2 linked regions of the Callithrix jacchus genome follow. The protein of the gene in region 1 interacts with the protein of each later gene in a biochemical or structural test. Links are inferred from orthologs where the notes say so. Each region holds a gene or a part of one and is shown in the gene's direction. Other genes may lie near its edges.

Region 1 (8,134 bases):
TTTGGCCAGGTGTGGGACACCCCCCTCCCACCCTGATCCTGGGCCCCACTAACGTCGACCACACACCCAAGGGTTCAGTGGCTTCAAGTCGTCCCATGCTGGGCCGCTCACCTGTGCCTCAGCTGCCTTTTCTGTAAAATAGTTCAAATAACAAGGTGCAACATAAGGTGGTTACGTTATTTCACGTCCAGTGTTTACACCAGTGCCTGACTAATGGTGCGCACTCAACTGTGAAGTATTCATAGTGTTACCAGTGTGTCTCCTTGCCTGGAGGGAGAAGAATGGTGCTTGGCTCTGTCCTGCCCCCACCCCTTCCTTTGTGACACGCCCTTCCCCAACAGGTGGTGAAAGCTTATGACCATCAGACCCAGGAACTCGTGGCTATCAAGATCATCAAGAACAAAAAGGCCTTTCTGAACCAGGCCCAGATTGAGCTGCGGCTGCTGGAGCTGATGAACCAGCATGACACGGAGATGAAGTACTACATAGGTGAGGCCTGGGCACCTGGGATAGCGGAAGCTGGAGCTGGTAGGGATGGGTCACCCTCCTGGCCCACCCTCAGGAGGAAGCTGGTGTCTTCAGAGCAGGGTTTGGTCTGTGCTTCACTGACATCAGTGATTCTCCTGCTGCTTTGATCATTGTTGTCCTATTTACTTGCTCATGATCAGAGGTTACTGAGTGCTCACCAAGGGCCAGGCTCTCTTAGAAGCACTTTATGTAAGTTAACTCACCACAGCCCATAAGGGGAAAGGCATTATTGCCCACATCTTGAAGGTAAGAAACCTGGGCTTCCATTCTAGTTCTTAAATTAAAAAAAAAAAAAAAAAATGGCAGGTGCAGTGCCTCATGCCTGTAATCCCAACACTTTGGGAGGCCAAGGTAGGAGGACCACGAGGTCAAGAGATCAAGAACATCCTGATCAACATGGTGGAACCCTGTCTCTACTAAAAATACAAAACCATTAGCTGGGCGTGGTGGTGTGCCCTTGTAGTCCCAGCTACTTGGGAGGCTGAGGCAGGGGAATTGCTTGAACCTGGGAGGTGGAAGTTGCAGTGAGCTGATATCACACCACTGCACTCCAGGCCTGGCGAAAGTGCGGGACTCTGTCTCAAAAAAAAAGTGAAGAAAGAAAAAAAGGAACCCAGGCATTCAAGTGCTATCACTTGCATGAGGTGGCAGTTTGTACTCATTGAGCTGTATGATTTAATGAGGCCGTGGACTCCAGAGCTGTTACTCTTAACATCTATCTATGCCAGTCTTTTCTCTTAAACTGATTTCCTCCTCGTGGACATAAACATCACATAGCATAATCATAAGCAGCAAGTAGATTTTAAAATTGTTTTGTTTGAAAGGAAAACATACATTCTTAAAGTAAATGGAAAACCAATCTCCTTTGCCACAAAAATGAATACAACCGAGATGAGAGCAGTGTTAGGAAACGAAACGAGGAAGTGTAGCGAAACTCTCTTTGGTAATTGGAAGGTTTCATAGAGACTTGGAAAGAGAACTAACTTCCTTTGTGAATCTAGTTGTTAGATAAAGAGATCGTGACTGGCAGATGGTACCCATGGGCACAGCACAATGTGGCTGGTCCTCTAAGAACATCATGTGACCCCAGGCCACCACCTGCCCTCTCTGAGCCGTTTCTTCTCTGTTGACCCATTTCCTCCCTTCCCTCACAGTGCACCTGAAGCGGCACTTCATGTTCCGGAACCACCTGTGCCTGGTGTTTGAGCTGCTGTCCTACAACCTGTACGACCTCCTGCGCAACACCCACTTCCGTGGCGTCTCGCTGAACCTAACTCGGAAGCTGGCGCAGCAGCTCTGTACGGCCCTGCTCTTTCTGGCCACGCCTGAGCTCAGCATCATTCATTGCGACCTCAAGCCTGAAAACATCTTGCTCTGCAACCCCAAGCGCAGTGCCATCAAGATCGTGGACTTTGGCAGCTCCTGCCAGCTTGGCCAGAGGGTATGGGTTGGCCCTGTCCTGGGGGCAGGGCTTGTGATTTGGGTGGGGCAGGGCCAGTGGGGAGGCTTAGGGGCGGGGCTAGGCTGGGATGGGATTATTAGGAGCTGCTGGAAGTAGGATAGTGCTTGGGGTGGGGGTGGGGGTATACTGCCAGCTACGATGGGAAGAGTGAAGCCTGAGGGGACAGGGCCCATTTTGAAGCTGCCAGATGTGAGCAGGGTGAAGTTGGGTTGGGTTAGAGCCAGGGGGGCTGCTTGGATAAGTTTTTGTATCCTGTGTTCTTAAAGCTGGGGATGGAGGTGGAAGGCTTCAACTTTGCAGCTCCATGTGAGCTGCTGATGAAAGGGCTTATGGAATGTCAGCCTTTGCCTGGTGATCCAGAAGGGCCCAGGGTCAGGGTTGGGGGTGGAGATCAAGGTCTGTCTAGGCCAGCAGACTCCCCAGGCTGGTAAAGAAGATTGGCTCCCAGAAAATTGGTGCTCACAATGGCAGGATTTGGAGCCTCAGTCCCCAGTTTGGCAGCAAGAGGCCTATCCTCTGTTGGGTCCTCAGCTTTGGGGATGTCAGTGGGACCAGTAAGGGAGGCTGGGACCCTTGACGATTGCCCTTTCCCCAGATCTACCAGTATATCCAGAGCCGCTTCTACCGCTCGCCTGAGGTGCTCCTGGGCACACCCTACGACCTGGCCATTGACATGTGGTCCCTGGGCTGCATCCTTGTGGAAATGCACACCGGAGAGCCCCTCTTCAGTGGCTCCAATGAGGTGTGCACCCAGGAAGGGGTGTGCTGGAGGTGGAGGGGGTGGAGCCTGGCCTGCCTGATGACTCTGACCCTTGCCTGTTCACAGGTGGACCAGATGAACCGCATTGTGGAAGTGCTGGGCATCCCGCCGGCCGCCATGCTGGACCAGGCGCCCAAGGCTCGCAAGTACTTTGAACGGCTGCCTGGGGGTGGCTGGACCCTACGAAGGACAAAAGAACTCAGGAAGGTGCGGCCCCTGCCCCATGCCACTTCCTCCCACCCCGCTGGCCCCTCACTCACACTTGGGGCTCTCTCCCCTGCTCCCTCTCCCTTGTGTCTTTCCCTTCCTTCCTCTCCCCTTTGTCTGTCCTTTCCTTCCTCCCCTGCCCACCCCATCTCCCCCTCTCCTTCCCACCCCACAGCTCTTCTTAGCTTCTCTCTTTCCACTTTCTCTCTTGTGCCTCTGTTTCCCCGTGTGTGTCTTCCTGCCCCTCCTGCCCACTGACGGCCACTCTCTTGCCCCCCCTCCCACCCCCTCCCTGCCAGGATTACCAGGGCCCCGGGACACGGCGGCTGCAGGAGGTGCTGGGCGTGCAGACGGGCGGGCCCGGGGGCCGGCGGGCGGGGGAGCCGGGCCACAGCCCCGCCGACTACCTCCGCTTCCAGGACCTGGTGCTGCGCATGCTGGAGTATGAGCCTGCCGCCCGCATCAGCCCACTCGGGGCTCTGCAGCACGGCTTCTTCCGCCGCACGGCCGACGAGGCCACCAACACGGGCCCGGCAGGCAGCAGTGCCTCCACCTCGCCCGCACCCCTCGACACCTGCCCCTCTTCCAGCACCGCCAGCTCCATCTCCAGTTCTGGTGGGTGCCCAGGTGCCCAAATGGGGTACAACAGGGGTAGGGGCTGCTCAGGTTTGGCCTGTCCTGGGTGACCTTGTTACTGGGCATTCACACAAGCTCTGAAGCTGCCTGATCCTAAACTCTAAGATGACATGTAGGGTGGGAGAGCTGTGACTGGTCCTGACATAATCTGAAATTGGGCTTGGGCTCGGGCTCAACCTTGAAACTGGTTTTGACTCTAAAACCCCAAACTGAATTCCAGCCCCAAATCTCAAAATCGGTCCTGGTTCTTCAAGTGGGCTCTGATCTCGAAGCCTAAACCTGAGCGTGGGCCCTGAGCTGTACTCAGTCATCCCAAAACCCACTCACTACCTTCCCTCACATTATGCCCCTTCCCCTCTCCTCCCTGGCACTTCCAGGAGGCTCCAGTGGCTCCTCCAGTGACAACCGGACCTACCGCTACAGCAACCGATATTGTGGGGGCCCTGGGCCCCCTATCACTGACTGTGAGATGAACAGTCCCCAGGTACTGGGGCTTTGAAGGTGGGCGATGGGGTACCTGGGGCTTAAGGACCCGGGTCTCCATCACCCATGGCTCCTTTGCTTTTTTAGGTCCCACCATCCCAGCCGCTGCGGCCCTGGGCAGGGGGTGATGTGCTACACAAGACGCATCAAGCCTCTGCCTCTGCCTCGTCACTGCCTGGGACTGGGGCCCAGTTACCCCCCCAGCCCCGATACCTTGGCCGTCCCCCATCACCAACCTCACCACCACCCCCGGAGCTGATGGATGTGAGCCTGGTGGGCGGCCCTGCTGACTGCTCCCCACCTCACCCAGCGCCTGCCCCCCAGCACCCGGCTGCCTCAGCCCTCCGGACTCGGATGACGGGAGGTCGTCCACCCCTCCCGCCTCCTGATGACCCTGCCACTCTAGGGCCTCACCTGGGCCTCCGTGGTGTACCCCAGAGCACGGCAGCCAGCTCATGACCCTGCCCCCTCCCTGGGGCCCCTCCTGAAGCCATACCCCCCCCCATCTGGGGGCCCTGGGCTCCCATCCTCATCTCTCTCCTTGACTGGAATTGCTGCTACCCAGCTGGGGTGGGTGAGGCCTGCACTGATTGGGGCCTGGGGCAGGGGGTCAAGGAGAGGGGTTTGGTCACTCCCTCCCCACTATGGACTGGACCCTTGGCCCCCTCTCCCCCTTTTTTTCTATTTATTGTACCAAAGACAGTGGTGGTCCGGTGGAGGGAAGACCCCCCCCTTACCCCAGGACCCTAGGAGGGGGTGGGGGCAGGTAGGGGGAGATGGCCTTGCTCCTCCTCGCTGTACTCCCAGTAAAGAGCTTTCTCACATGCCTGCCTGAGCGTTTGCAGGGCCTCGGCTTCCCTCACCCGATCCTCAGAGCCATGGTGGGGAAGGGGATTTGGGGAGGGGGTGCTGGAGGAGCTCTGTGGTGTGAAGACATCTCTTTGTGGGGAAGCTGTGGCTCTTGGGGCAGGCATGGGGCTGCAGGTCTGGGGCACCAGCATCTTAGATTGTGGTTAGGATCCTGGCCTACATTTGTCTTTTCCGGGGCAAACAGACGCTGAAAGGGTAACGGTTCAGCTCTGGCCTGTCTCTGGGAAACAGGTGCCCTAATAAGCCGGAGCTTCTGCAGACTCAGCACAGAAGTGGCTTTTCATGCCAAGCAGGCGTCCAGTAGCCTCTCAGTGCACTTAGCGGGCTTTGCTGGCGCTATCTGGGGAATAGGCAGACAATAGGTACAGGTTCTGCCCCCATATGCCTATGGTCCAACCGTTTGGAGTCACGGCGAAACAAAGCGTTTTGAGATCGGAAGCAAAAAGATTTTCCCGGGGTTTCAGGTAAGTGGTCCTGTTTCCGTGGTAATTTGGAGATGTACACCTCCCAACTGGCCAATCAAGAACTGTCCAGTTCAAAGGGTACCGTCTCTCACCACTTGGGCACGGTGCTTCATGGGAAATGGAGTTCTACGTAGCCATCGCTTTCTGGGTTTTTTGTCGTGGGGACTGCAACAACCAGAGTTCTTTTCACTCACACACTTGGGGCGGGTTTACAGGTGGCCAATGGGCGGTCTGAGGTAGCCGGGGCCCGGATGTTATGGTGTTTAGGAGGCGGAGGTCTTGAGGCGTGTGTAAGGTGGGCGCAGCACCGTACCAGGAGAGCGTGCAGGTTGTCTCTCATGGTTCCGGAGCAGGCGGTAGACGCCGAGGCCTGAATTGGCCCTAGCACGCGGACATCACTGGCCGCTGTGTCTGGTCCGGCTTGCGGGAGGCCCCACTCAGTGGAAGAGACAGGCAAGGATCCCGTTGCGGACCTCTGTATGTTCACTAATGGAGGCGCCGTAGAACACGGTGGGAACCCGAGGAGGCACTGGTAGGAGGATCATCCCCGAAGACTAGGAGCTGTCTGAGCTGAGACTGAAGACGGATGTTTTGGGCGTCGGGGGCGGTGTGGTGGAATGGTTTGTGCAAAGGCAGTGAGAAACAGACTGTTGTGTGAACACGGGCTGCAGGTGATCTGGTGTTGATGTGCATGCTGAAAATTCATATGAGATGTGGAAGTTTCTTGACCTTTTAGGGAGCTTGGATTTTGTCCTGAGGGCAATGAAGAGCCATAGGAGGATTTTTAGTTGGGAAGGACCACGGCCCGGTTCGTTGTGACATGAGAATAGATTAACGGGAAAATGACAGGTTCGGGAACCCAGGGTGGCAGCTTTGGCAGATTCCTAGGCAAGAGATGTTGGAAACGGATCAGGGCAGAGGCCACCGTAGGGAGGGCAAGAGGAGATAGGAGAGATGACGAGAAGGGTGACAGGCTGTTTGGGAGGGGGAGACAGAGGGATGGGAAAAGATATCTCGAGGTATCTCGAGCGCTTAGAGCAGATGCTCAGTAACTGATGTCTTGAATGAACAATCCTAGGAGTCAGGTGCTGATGTACTCTCCCATTCGTAAATGATACCTAGGATGGAAAAGATTAGGAAACTTGACCATTACCAATATCTAGGAAGAGGAGGGCTCAGGTGTGTGTGTGTGTGTGTGTGTGTGTGTGTGTGTGTATGTATGTGTGTATACCATTGACTTACTAAGGAGACATTAGCAGGGCCAGATCAGGTAAGTCTTGTGAGGAATTTGTAGGGAGGCATAGAAATGCATATGTCACATTTCTATATCCATCCAGAATCTCTCCTCTGAGCTCCTGACCGACGGCCTACTTGACACCTGTTGATAATCTAGTGGTATCTTCAGAATAATTTTGGTAGAATTGAGCTCCTGCTCCTTTCCCCAGAATTTATTCCCCCCATGTTCATCTCAATATGTTCCCTCCACCCTCTCCAGGCCCAAACCACTGCAGTTGTCCTGGACTCCTCTCTCTCTCTTTGATCCATGTCTGTCAGCAAATACCCAGAACCTGACCACTTCTCCCCACCTTCACCCTGTCCTCCCTTATCTCCTTCCCAGACCATGATGGCAGCCTCCTCAGTGACCTCCCTGCTCTTACCTGCCCCCAGAGTGTTTCTCACGTGCAGGTAGAGGGATGCTGTGAGCACCTGTATCAGGTCATATTCCTCACCTGCTCGGAACCCTTCTGAGGTTCCTCTCACTCAGGGTAAAAACCAGAGTCCTCTGCAAGGCTCTGCATTGTCTGCCCTCATCACGCCTCTGACATCATCTCTCCTTACTCCCTCTGCTCCAAGTGCACTGGCCCCAGGGCCTTTGCGCTTAGTCTTCTCTTTACCTGAGGAACTCATCTACCAAATAGCCCAGACTCGCTCCTTCCTCTTTAGGTATCCCCTGAGATGCCGCTGCCTTCCTGAGGTCTTCCCTCACCACCCTTCTAAAATGGTACCACTAATAGTCACATCTATCTTTGCTCTTTCACTTTATCCTTAGCATTAATCATATTACTGTTTAACACTCTAGAATTTGTCTGTGTTTATGTTTATTGTCTGTCTCCCCTGACCCCTACCTCTAGGAGACTGTTGACTTTGTGAGGGCAGTGGCTTTTGTCTACTTCCTCTGTTATCTCCAACACAGAGAAAAGTTCTTGGAACACAGGACTCAGTAACTACTTATCAAATAAACTATTGAACAGCACACATCTGGATCCCAGCATGCTGGAGACTACTGATCCCCTTTCTACAGAACTCAAAGGGGCTGCCTTAAAGTTTTCTGGGGGCTCAAGACATTCAGCAAGTATTTCACCTCACCTCTTTTTTCTACTCAGCATAGGGAACACAGCCGAGAACAAAATGCTTTCCCTACCCCCATAGAACCTACAGTAACGGGGATGGTAGTTCAGACCATCAAATAATCACGTGTGAAATTACGAAGAAGGTAGAGAGTGCTATAAGAACACTTGATGGGAAATCAGATCCGGACCCTAGGAAACGGGTTTGTGGTGATGAAGGAGTAGGCATTAGCTTCTTTAAGAGATAAGAGTTTGTGTCGGTTGGAGACCTGAGGCTGATGCAGAGCAAGAGGTTAGATCTTGTGGATGCCATAAGGAGTTTGGGTGTTTACCCCTTATGTAGTGGGAAATTGTAAAATTTTAAGCTGGGGATGGG
Region 2 (8,882 bases), on another chromosome or scaffold:
GATTGATTAGTGATGTCTGCCTTGGACACAGGTTAAGAAAGTGATGGCATATGTGCTGTGTGTCTGTCATCACTGGGTTAGATGATTTCTAAGTTCTAGGGGTCAGCGCCTCTGATTCAGCACCCTGACAATGAGAAAGAATCAAGGGCATGGTCAGGGGAACTGAATGGGAAGGTGAGCATGGCCAGTACCCATTCTTGGCTTTCTGTGCCTACAGAGTTCACCCACGCAGGACAGGGAGGGCTGATTGAAGAGCCCACAGGTGATGAGCTACCAACCAAGAAGGGGCGGAGGAACCGTTTCAAGTGGGGCCCAGCATCGCAGCAGATCCTGTTCCAGGCCTATGAGAGGCAGAAGAACCCCAGCAAGGAGGAGCGAGAGACGCTGGTGGAGGAGTGCAATAGGTAGAACGGCGGGCGGGAAACAGTGCCGGTTTCATCCGGGCTGAGGCAAGGCCAGGGAAGGGGAAGGGGACTCTAGGTCCTGGAAGAGGCTATCCAGTCGCTGAGAACTCCTGAGCTGGCTTAGCCTGGCCCAGAGAACTAATACTTGAAGCTAACCCCATTCCTAGCAGCCCCCTTGCACCCTGTACACCAAGCTGCCCCTTCCATGGACACTCACCTAATTTTATTCCTTCTACAATCCTATGGCTGGTGTTTTTGTTTTGTTTTGTTTTTTGTTTTGAGACGGAGTTGCACTCTTGTCTCCCAGGCTGGAGTGCAATGGGGCGACCTTGGCTCACTGCAACCTCCATCTCCTAGGTTCAAACAATTCTCCTTCCTCAGCCTCCCAAGCAGCTGGGATTACAGGCGCCTGCCACCATGCCCGGCTAATTTTTGTATTTTTAGTAGAGACAGGATTTTGCCATGTTGGCCAGGCTGGTCTCAAACTCCTGACCTCAGGTGATCCACTCGCCTCAGCCTCCCAAAGTGCTGGGATTACAGGCATGAACTGCCATGCTTGGCTAATCCTATGACTGTTTTGCTCACTTTATGAATGGAGAGACAGGTCAGAGAGGCTGTCACTTGCCCAGGGTCACACAGCAGAACACGCACTGGAGCCCAGATGTGCCAGCCTCAAACCGGCAGGCAGAGCTCAACTTCTCAGAACCTTTGCCTTCATGCCCAGGAGAGGGTTCCTCTGAGCCTGGCCTGGAGGCTCATGGGTGACTATTTCTGCAGGGCGGAATGCATCCAGAGGGGGGTGTCCCCATCACAGGCACAGGGGCTGGGCTCCAACCTCGTCACAGAGGTACGTGTCTACAACTGGTTTGCCAACCGGCGCAAAGAAGAAGCCTTCCGGCACAAGCTGGCCATGGACACATATAGTGGGCCCCCACCAGGGCCAGGCCCGGGACCTGCGCTGCCTGCTCATAGCTCCCCTGGCCTGCCCCCACCCGCCCTCTCCCCCAGTAAGGTCCACGGTGAGTGGTATGTGGGAACAGGGGACGTGTGGGTAGGTGGGCGGGTTGGGGAGTGACAGCACTCACCTAAACCTCTTAGCACTTCTGCTGGGTTCCATTCCATTCCATTCCCGCCACTCCTTATCACTCCACTTCACTCTGTCCCTTCATCCCTTCTGCTCTATCTCCATTCCATTCACTCTACTCCTTTCCACTCTCTTCACTCCATCCCACTCCACTCCACCCACTACAATTAACCCCATTCCATTCACACCACTCTCCATTCACTCCATTCACTTCCACTCCATTCCATCTATACCATTCCCCACCGCTCTATTCACATACTCCATCCAACTTCATTCCACCAACTCTATCAACTCCACTCCATCCATTCCATCCAACTTCATTCCATCCACTAAATTAGCCCCATTCCATTCACTCTACTCCATTCAATTCCACTCCATTCCATCTACTCCATCGACTCCACTCCATCCATTCCATCCAACTTCATTCCATCAACTCCATTCAACACCACTCCATCCAGCACTCCATCCACTCCATACTCCACTGTCCACTCAACTCTATCCACTTCATTCAACTCCACTCCATCTACTACATTCAACTCTACTCTATTCACTCCATACTCTATTCCATCCACTCCATTTAGCGCGACTCCATCACTTCATTCAATGCCACTCCATCCACTCCACTCCACCCATTCCATCCACTCCACTCCACCCATTACATCCACTGCACTCCATCCAACTCCATTAGATTCCACTGCATCCACTCCACCCAACTGACTCCACCCACTCTACCCACTCTTCCTCCACTCCTCTCTACTCCATAACGGTTTATTCTAATTGTCCAACCACTCATCTCCATCCACTCCACTCCACATGACTCTACATTTCATCCATTCCACTCTACTCCATTCCCTCCACTCTATTCACATACTCCATCCATTCCACTCTACTCCATCCCCTCCACTCTACTCCATCCCCTCCACTCCACCCACTCACTCCACTCTACTCCATCCCCTCCACTCTATTCACAAACTCCATCCATTCCACTCTACTCCATCCCCTCCACTCCACCCACTCCATCCCCTCCACTCCACCCACTCACTCCACTCTACTCCATCCCTTCCACTCTATTCACAAACTCCATCCATTCCACTCTACTCCATCCCCTCCACTCCACCCACTCCATCCCCTCCACTCTACTCCATCCCCTCCACTCTATTCACAAACTCCATCCATTCCACTCTACTCCATCCCCTCCACTCCACCCACTCCATCCCCTCCACTCCACCCACTCACTCCACTCTACTCCGTCCCTTCCACTCTATTCACAAACTCCATCCATTCCACTCTACTCCATCCCCTCCATGCTAGCCACTCCATTCATTCCAGTCCACACCCCGCTATTCCTCACCATTCCATCCACTCTACCCTACACCATTCCACCTCACTCTATTCCTCCCCACCCATCCTCTCCACCCTTTACCACTCCAGTGGACCCATTCCACTTGATTCCCCTCATTCCATTCAGTTCCATCTATTGTACTCCACACCATCCACTCTACTTTTTATGATTCCACTCAATTCAGCCTAACTTGATTTGGGTTACTTCAATTCATTCATTTCAGATTGTATCAATTCATTTCAATTCAACTAAATTCAGTTAAATTCAGTTTAGTTGTCTTTTACGGAGCATCTACCGCATGTAGAGGCATAGCACCAGGCAGTGGGGGAGAATGGAGCTAATAAATGCAGTCTCAGCCTTCAAGGAACTGGGAGCAGCTGACCCAGGGCTTGGCACAAGGAAGAAGCACAGGCAGTTTGCTGGCTGCATACAGACAGACAGGCAGCTGGCCTAAGCACACCGATGCCGTTAGAAGTGAGGTGGGCTAGGGGGCAGGGGAGGGCCGGGAAGTGGGTGCGGGGGCTGGACACTGTTTCTCCTCCAGGTGTGCGCTATGGACAGCCTGCAACCAGTGAGACTGCAGAAGTGCCCTCAAGTAGCGGTGGTCCCTTAGTGACAGTGTCTACACCCCTGCACCAAGTGTCCCCCACGGGCCTGGAGCCCAGCCACAGCCTCCTGAGCACGGAAGCCAAGCTGGTGAGTGTCCCTGCCTGTAGGAAAAATCCAGCCTCATCTTTCCTTGGCAGGGAGATTCCCGAGCAGTCCCAAGGGAGGCCCTGTGGGGATGGGATGCTGCCCCAGCCCCCAACTCAGGTCAGCTTCCCCTTGTAGGTCTCGGCAACTGGGGGCCCACTCCCCCCTGTCAGCACCCTGACAGCACTGCACAGCTTGGAGCAGACATCCCCAGGCCTCAACCAGCAGCCCCAGAACCTCATCATGGCCTCACTTCCTGGGGTCATGACCATTGGGCCTGGTGAGCCCGCCTCCCTGGGTCCCACGTTCACCAACACAGGTGCCTCCACCCTGGTCATTGGTAAGCTGGTGGGGACGGGTGGGCACCTGGGTGGGAGGCTCATGGGGCAACTGCAGGATCCAGGAGCTGGAAGAGCCAGTGGGACTCATTCATTCATTCATTCAACATGTATCTACCCAGTGCCTACTCTGGACCAGGCACTGTACTACGTCAGTGATACCTGATTGAACCAAACAGACCAAAATCTCAGCAACTCAAGTGGGGAGGCAGGCAGAAGGCCTAATACATCAATTCTGTGGCTCCTCAGGTGAAGGGTCTATGCAAATTACAGCAGGGTAAGGGGACTGATTTTTTTTTTTAATATCGTTTAGCATTATGTTTTCCTCTTTTATCACAAATCCTCTGCAGGCTAGAGGATTTGTCTTTGAAGTTTTTTGTTTTATGAAGAAAAATTAGGCCCAGAAAGCCTTTATTTGCAGGTACAATTATGCAGAAGCCCAGAACATATAGATAGGGAGCTGCTGAGAGAGGGGAGCAGAGAGCTAACTCCAGGGCCTTGGCGCTCCAGGGAACCCCAGTTTGATGATTTTTGAACAAGTCACTGACTGCCTCTCCCACTAGCCGAGATAAGGAGCTAAAGGCTCAGACAGGGGGAATGACTTGCCAGGGCCACTTAAATTAGTGGCAGGTCCCAGTGGAGGGCTGTTTCCTGACCACCCTGCCCCCTCCTCCAACCCATGGGTTCTGGGAGGGAGAGGTGGTGCCCCTAGGAGGCCTAGGGGTGGGTGGGATATAACTGGGGGGCCTAGCTGATTCCCACTGCTTCCACTCCAGGCCTGGCCTCCACTCAGGCACAGAGTGTGCCAGTCATCAACAGCATGGGCAGCAGCCTGACCACCCTGCAGCCTGTCCAGTTCTCCCAGCCACTGCACCCCTCCTACCAGCAACCACTCATGCCACCCGTGCAGAGCCACATGACCCAGAGCCCCTTCATGGCCACCATGGCCCAGCTGCAGAACCCCCACGGTGAGCCCCCTGTACCCCACGCAGGGGGAAATGATGACAGAGGTTGGCTGTCAATGGATACAGGGGAAGGGGGTGCCTGGCAGGGATTGTGGTCCAAGTGTGTCTCTGGGACAAGTGTGTTTCTGTGATTGAGGGTGCCTGCAGGCCAGTGTGTTCCCATGTTCATGTGTGTATCTGTGTGTGTGTGTGCATGTCTGTGTGGGCACATCCCTATTGCGTGTCTGGGTGTTTATCAGCTATGCATGCCCATGTTTCTCTGAAATTCTTAGGGCCATATCGATTTCAGAATCTACTATTCAGATTTTAGAAAGGTAATGTGGGGCCATTGTGGTAACTCACGCCTGTAATCCCAGCACCTTGGGAGGCCAAAGCTGGTGGATCACTTGAGATCAGGAGTTTGAGACCAGCCTGGCCAACATGGTGAAACCCCATCTCTACTAAAAATACAAAAATTAATCAGGTGTGGAAGCACGTGCCTGTAGTCCCAACTACTCGGGAGGCTGAGGCAGGAGAATCACCTGAACCCGGGAGGCAGAGGTTGCAGTGAGCTGAGATTGCCCCACTGCACTCCAGCCTGGGCAACAGAGCAAGACTCTGTCTCCAAAATACAATAAAAAAAAAGGCTCACACCTGTAATCCCAACACTTTGGAAGGTGGATCAGCCTGGGCAACAGAGCAAGACTCTGTCAAAAAAAAAAAAAAAAAAAAAAAAAGGCCTCACGAAGGCTCACACCTGTAATCCCATCCAAGGAGGGCAGATCACCTGAGGTAAGGAGTTCAAGACCAGCCTGGCCAAGATGGTGAAACCCCGTCTCTACTCCAGCCTGGTAGTATAGGGCGAGACTCCATCTCAAAAAAAAAAAAAAATAGTAATTTGGTGACTATGCCAGCTATCACGTAACACTCCCAGCAGGGTTTGGGACAGACCCTGTGATCCAAGCGCTGCTATTTCTGCAGCCAAAGGCAGGATTTCCACAAAGCAGGTTCAATACACACATAACCTCATGTCAAGTTCAGGTTGGGTTTGCCACCAAATGAGCTCTAGTGCCAATCTTAAGGACATCTTTTGGTTTCAAAACCTTTTTGGAATTTGGAACTGGGTTAAGAGGTTTTGGACCTGTATATTTCTTTGTGTGTGCATGGTTGAGAGTGTATGTATTTAAGTGCATTATGTTTTTATCTGAGTCACTGTGAGAATATGTGGTTTATGTGTGTTTTGCTAGTGTCTGTGTGCCTCTTGTGGGGTCTGTGTGTCTCCTTTGGGGTGGGTGGGGGTGCTGTAGGCAAGATATGGGTTATATTTGGAGAGGTGGGCTGGGGATGGAGGTACTGCTGTCCTCTGCCTTGTTCTTTGACAGGGGCCACCTGCCTTTCTTCTAAACGACACCAGCATCTGCACTTAGTACATAGACCTTGTCTTTAGTGCATAGCACCTGTGTTTAGTATAGTAGCACCTGCGCTTAGTGCATAGCGCCTGTATTTAGTAGGGTAACACCTGTGCCTAGTACATAGCACCTGTGTTTAGTACAGTAGCACCTGTGCTTAGTACATAGCACCTGTGTTTAGTACAGTAGCACCTGCGCTTAGTGCATAGCACCTGTATTTAGTAGGGTAACATCTGTGCTTAGTACATAGTGCCTGCATTTAGTACAGTAGCACCTGCACCCACACCTCCCGTTCCCTTTCATACCTGCTGTCTCCAGGTGACAAGAGTAGCTGGAGTTGGTTCCTAACCGCCTCCAGGCTCCCTCGCATCAATCCCAGCTGAGCAGGCCCCTGTAATGGGGAGAGGGTCTGTCCCTCTATCTGGAGCCCCCAGTTTTGATAATCAGCCCTGAATCTCCAACCCAGACCCAGTCTGGCCGTTCAGCAAGGCCCCAAGCCCCTCTTTCCCCAGTCTTGAGGCCTGGGTCGGGGGCTGTCAGGGGCTGTCAGGCACGCCTGCCATGTCTGCCCCTCTCTCCCCTGCGGCCAGCCCTCTACAGCCACAAGCCCGAGGTAGCCCAGTACACGCACACGGGCCTGCTCCCGCAGACCATGCTCATCACCGACACCACCAACCTGAGCGCCCTGGCCAGCCTCACGCCCACCAAGCAGGTAAGGCCTAGTCTGCCGCTCTCCCTCGCCTGAGCCAGAGCCCTCACCGCCACACCCCAGGGGCTCAGGAGTCTGCTCTGCTCCCCCAGGTCTTCACCTCAGACACCGAGGCCTCCAGTGAGTCCGGGCTTCACACGCCAGCCTCTCAGGCTACCACCCTTCACGTCCCCAGCCAGGATCCTGCTGGCATTCAGCACCTGCAGCCCGCCCACCGGCTCAGCGCCAGCCCCACAAGTAAGAGGCCCTGGCCCCGCCCCATCCCTTGATGGCCCCGCCCCTTCCGTGTTGGTCCCGCCCCTTTCGTTGTCGTCCCCCGTCGCTGTGGGGCAGTGCATGCAGTAAGCCTAGGGCTTCGGCGAGGAAGCCCCCGCAGGCATGGGGGGTGGGGTGGGGTTCCCGCCTCCCAGACACGGCCTGTGCGCCCATGAAGCCCAAAATGCACGGCGACCCCAGGAAGATGGGCCCACCTCACAGGAACATCTCAGGGACTAAGTTGAGGAAAAAGGTGAAGTCATTGTTAGAGGCAGCGGCGGAGGATGATAAGGACCAGGTCTGTGAGCCAGAAGCAACTCTTTCACGCTTTTGGTTTGGCTTGGCTCAGGGTTGAACATTCTTTGAAATTTGTTGCCAACATTTCAAAATCGTGAATTTTCACATAGAAATCCGGATTTCCAGCATCTTTTGGAAAACTGGAAAAATTCATATTCCCACATAACAGCTCACCAGGCCCCACTACATCCACTCACATTGGCTCGGAGTTTGTAATCTATGATGTCATTGTCAGGAGTGGGCATTTGGAGTCAGGTGGCTGGCTCTGCACCTGCCTTTATGCCAAGTTGCCCCTTTCTCTAAGGTTCTTGGCCCCAACCCTGGCAGCCATCATGACAGCCACTGAAGGCATTCTGTGTCCTGGCTCCATGCTTCACCTCGGGAGGCGTGTGCACAATCACCCCCATTTTACCGATGAGAACATGGACACTTAAGGAGGGGAGGGACTTGCCTCGTCTCCCACAGCTACCAGACAGCAGGGCCAGGACTCGAACCCAGGTCCAACCTCAAAGCCCATTCTCTTAACCATTTCCATTAGTCAGGTTTCTCCAGAAACCCAGAACCAATAGACTGACTTGAAGGACTTGGCTGGAGACTGTGGGGACTGCCTAACCTGAAATCTGTTGCTGGGAACTTCCTCGAGAGAGAGTTCTGCAGCCTTGAGGCAGAATTCTTTCTTCTCTGGAAACCCATTTTTGCTCTTATGGCCTTCTGCTGATGGAGGAGGCCCACCCATATTTTCAGGGTAAACTCCTTTACCGCAAAGCCAACCGGTTGTGGCGTTAACCACATCTACAAAGCACCTGCATTCACAACAGCAGTTAGATGAGCGTTTGACTCAGCCTCACCAAGCCAACATGTTTACAGCTGCCTGCCCCGGCATCTCACTGGGGCTTCTCCAGCGTTCCCACTAAGGTGTACTGAGGCCACTCCCTGGGCAGCCCCAGAGCCTGGCTGGGAGGCTCCCCTTGTTAAGAACTGAGAGTAGAGGTTTGACTTTGGGGTTCCTGTTATCTGCTGTGATCCAGGAGGTGTGGCCCTGCCTCCTTGTCCCAAGTGTTCTGGGGCAGGAGGGGTGGGTCAGGGTGGCTGTGTGCGGCCAGCAGCCTCGTTTGCCTCCACAGTGTCCTCCAGCAGCCTGGTGCTGTACCAGAGCTCAGACTCCAGCAATGGCCACAGCCACCTGCTACCGTCCAACCACAGCGTCATCGAGACCTTCATCTCCACGCAGATGGCCTCTTCCTCCCAGTAACCACGGCACCTGGGCCCTGGAGCCTGTACTGCCTGACTGGGGGCAATGAGGGCAGCAGCCAGCCCTGCCTGGAGGACCTGAGCCAGCCGGGCTCCTGCTGCTCTTCCTGGAAAGCTGCGCCTCGCTCCCTGCTTTGCTGTGACGCATCAGAAAGG

What was found.
Region 2: of the proteins of DYRK1B (region 1) and HNF1A, one has a biochemical effect on the other in vitro, tested with the Homo sapiens proteins (2 studies listed by IntAct, with this or other methods). The link is inferred for Callithrix jacchus from reciprocal best matches to the Homo sapiens genes DYRK1B and HNF1A.

Annotation. Positions count from the first base shown.
Region 1 is NC_133523.1:35,101,422-35,109,555, forward strand, and holds the end of DYRK1B (dual specificity tyrosine-phosphorylation-regulated kinase 1B), read left to right. Parts: coding exon 1-9; intron 10-341; coding exon 342-489; intron 490-1,682; coding exon 1,683-1,969; intron 1,970-2,585; coding exon 2,586-2,732; intron 2,733-2,816; coding exon 2,817-2,957; intron 2,958-3,256; coding exon 3,257-3,572; intron 3,573-3,970; coding exon 3,971-4,077; intron 4,078-4,163; coding exon 4,164-4,535; 3' UTR 4,536-4,900; downstream 4,901-8,134.
Region 2 is NC_133510.1:124,131,979-124,140,860, forward strand, and holds part of HNF1A (hepatocyte nuclear factor 1-alpha), read left to right. Parts: intron 1-217; coding exon 218-404; intron 405-1,181; coding exon 1,182-1,423; intron 1,424-3,374; coding exon 3,375-3,526; intron 3,527-3,661; coding exon 3,662-3,863; intron 3,864-4,637; coding exon 4,638-4,829; intron 4,830-6,804; coding exon 6,805-6,926; intron 6,927-7,015; coding exon 7,016-7,160; intron 7,161-8,599; coding exon 8,600-8,727; 3' UTR 8,728-8,882. UniProt on the Homo sapiens protein: Transcriptional activator that regulates the tissue specific expression of multiple genes, especially in pancreatic islet cells and in liver. Binds to the inverted palindrome 5'-GTTAATNATTAAC-3'.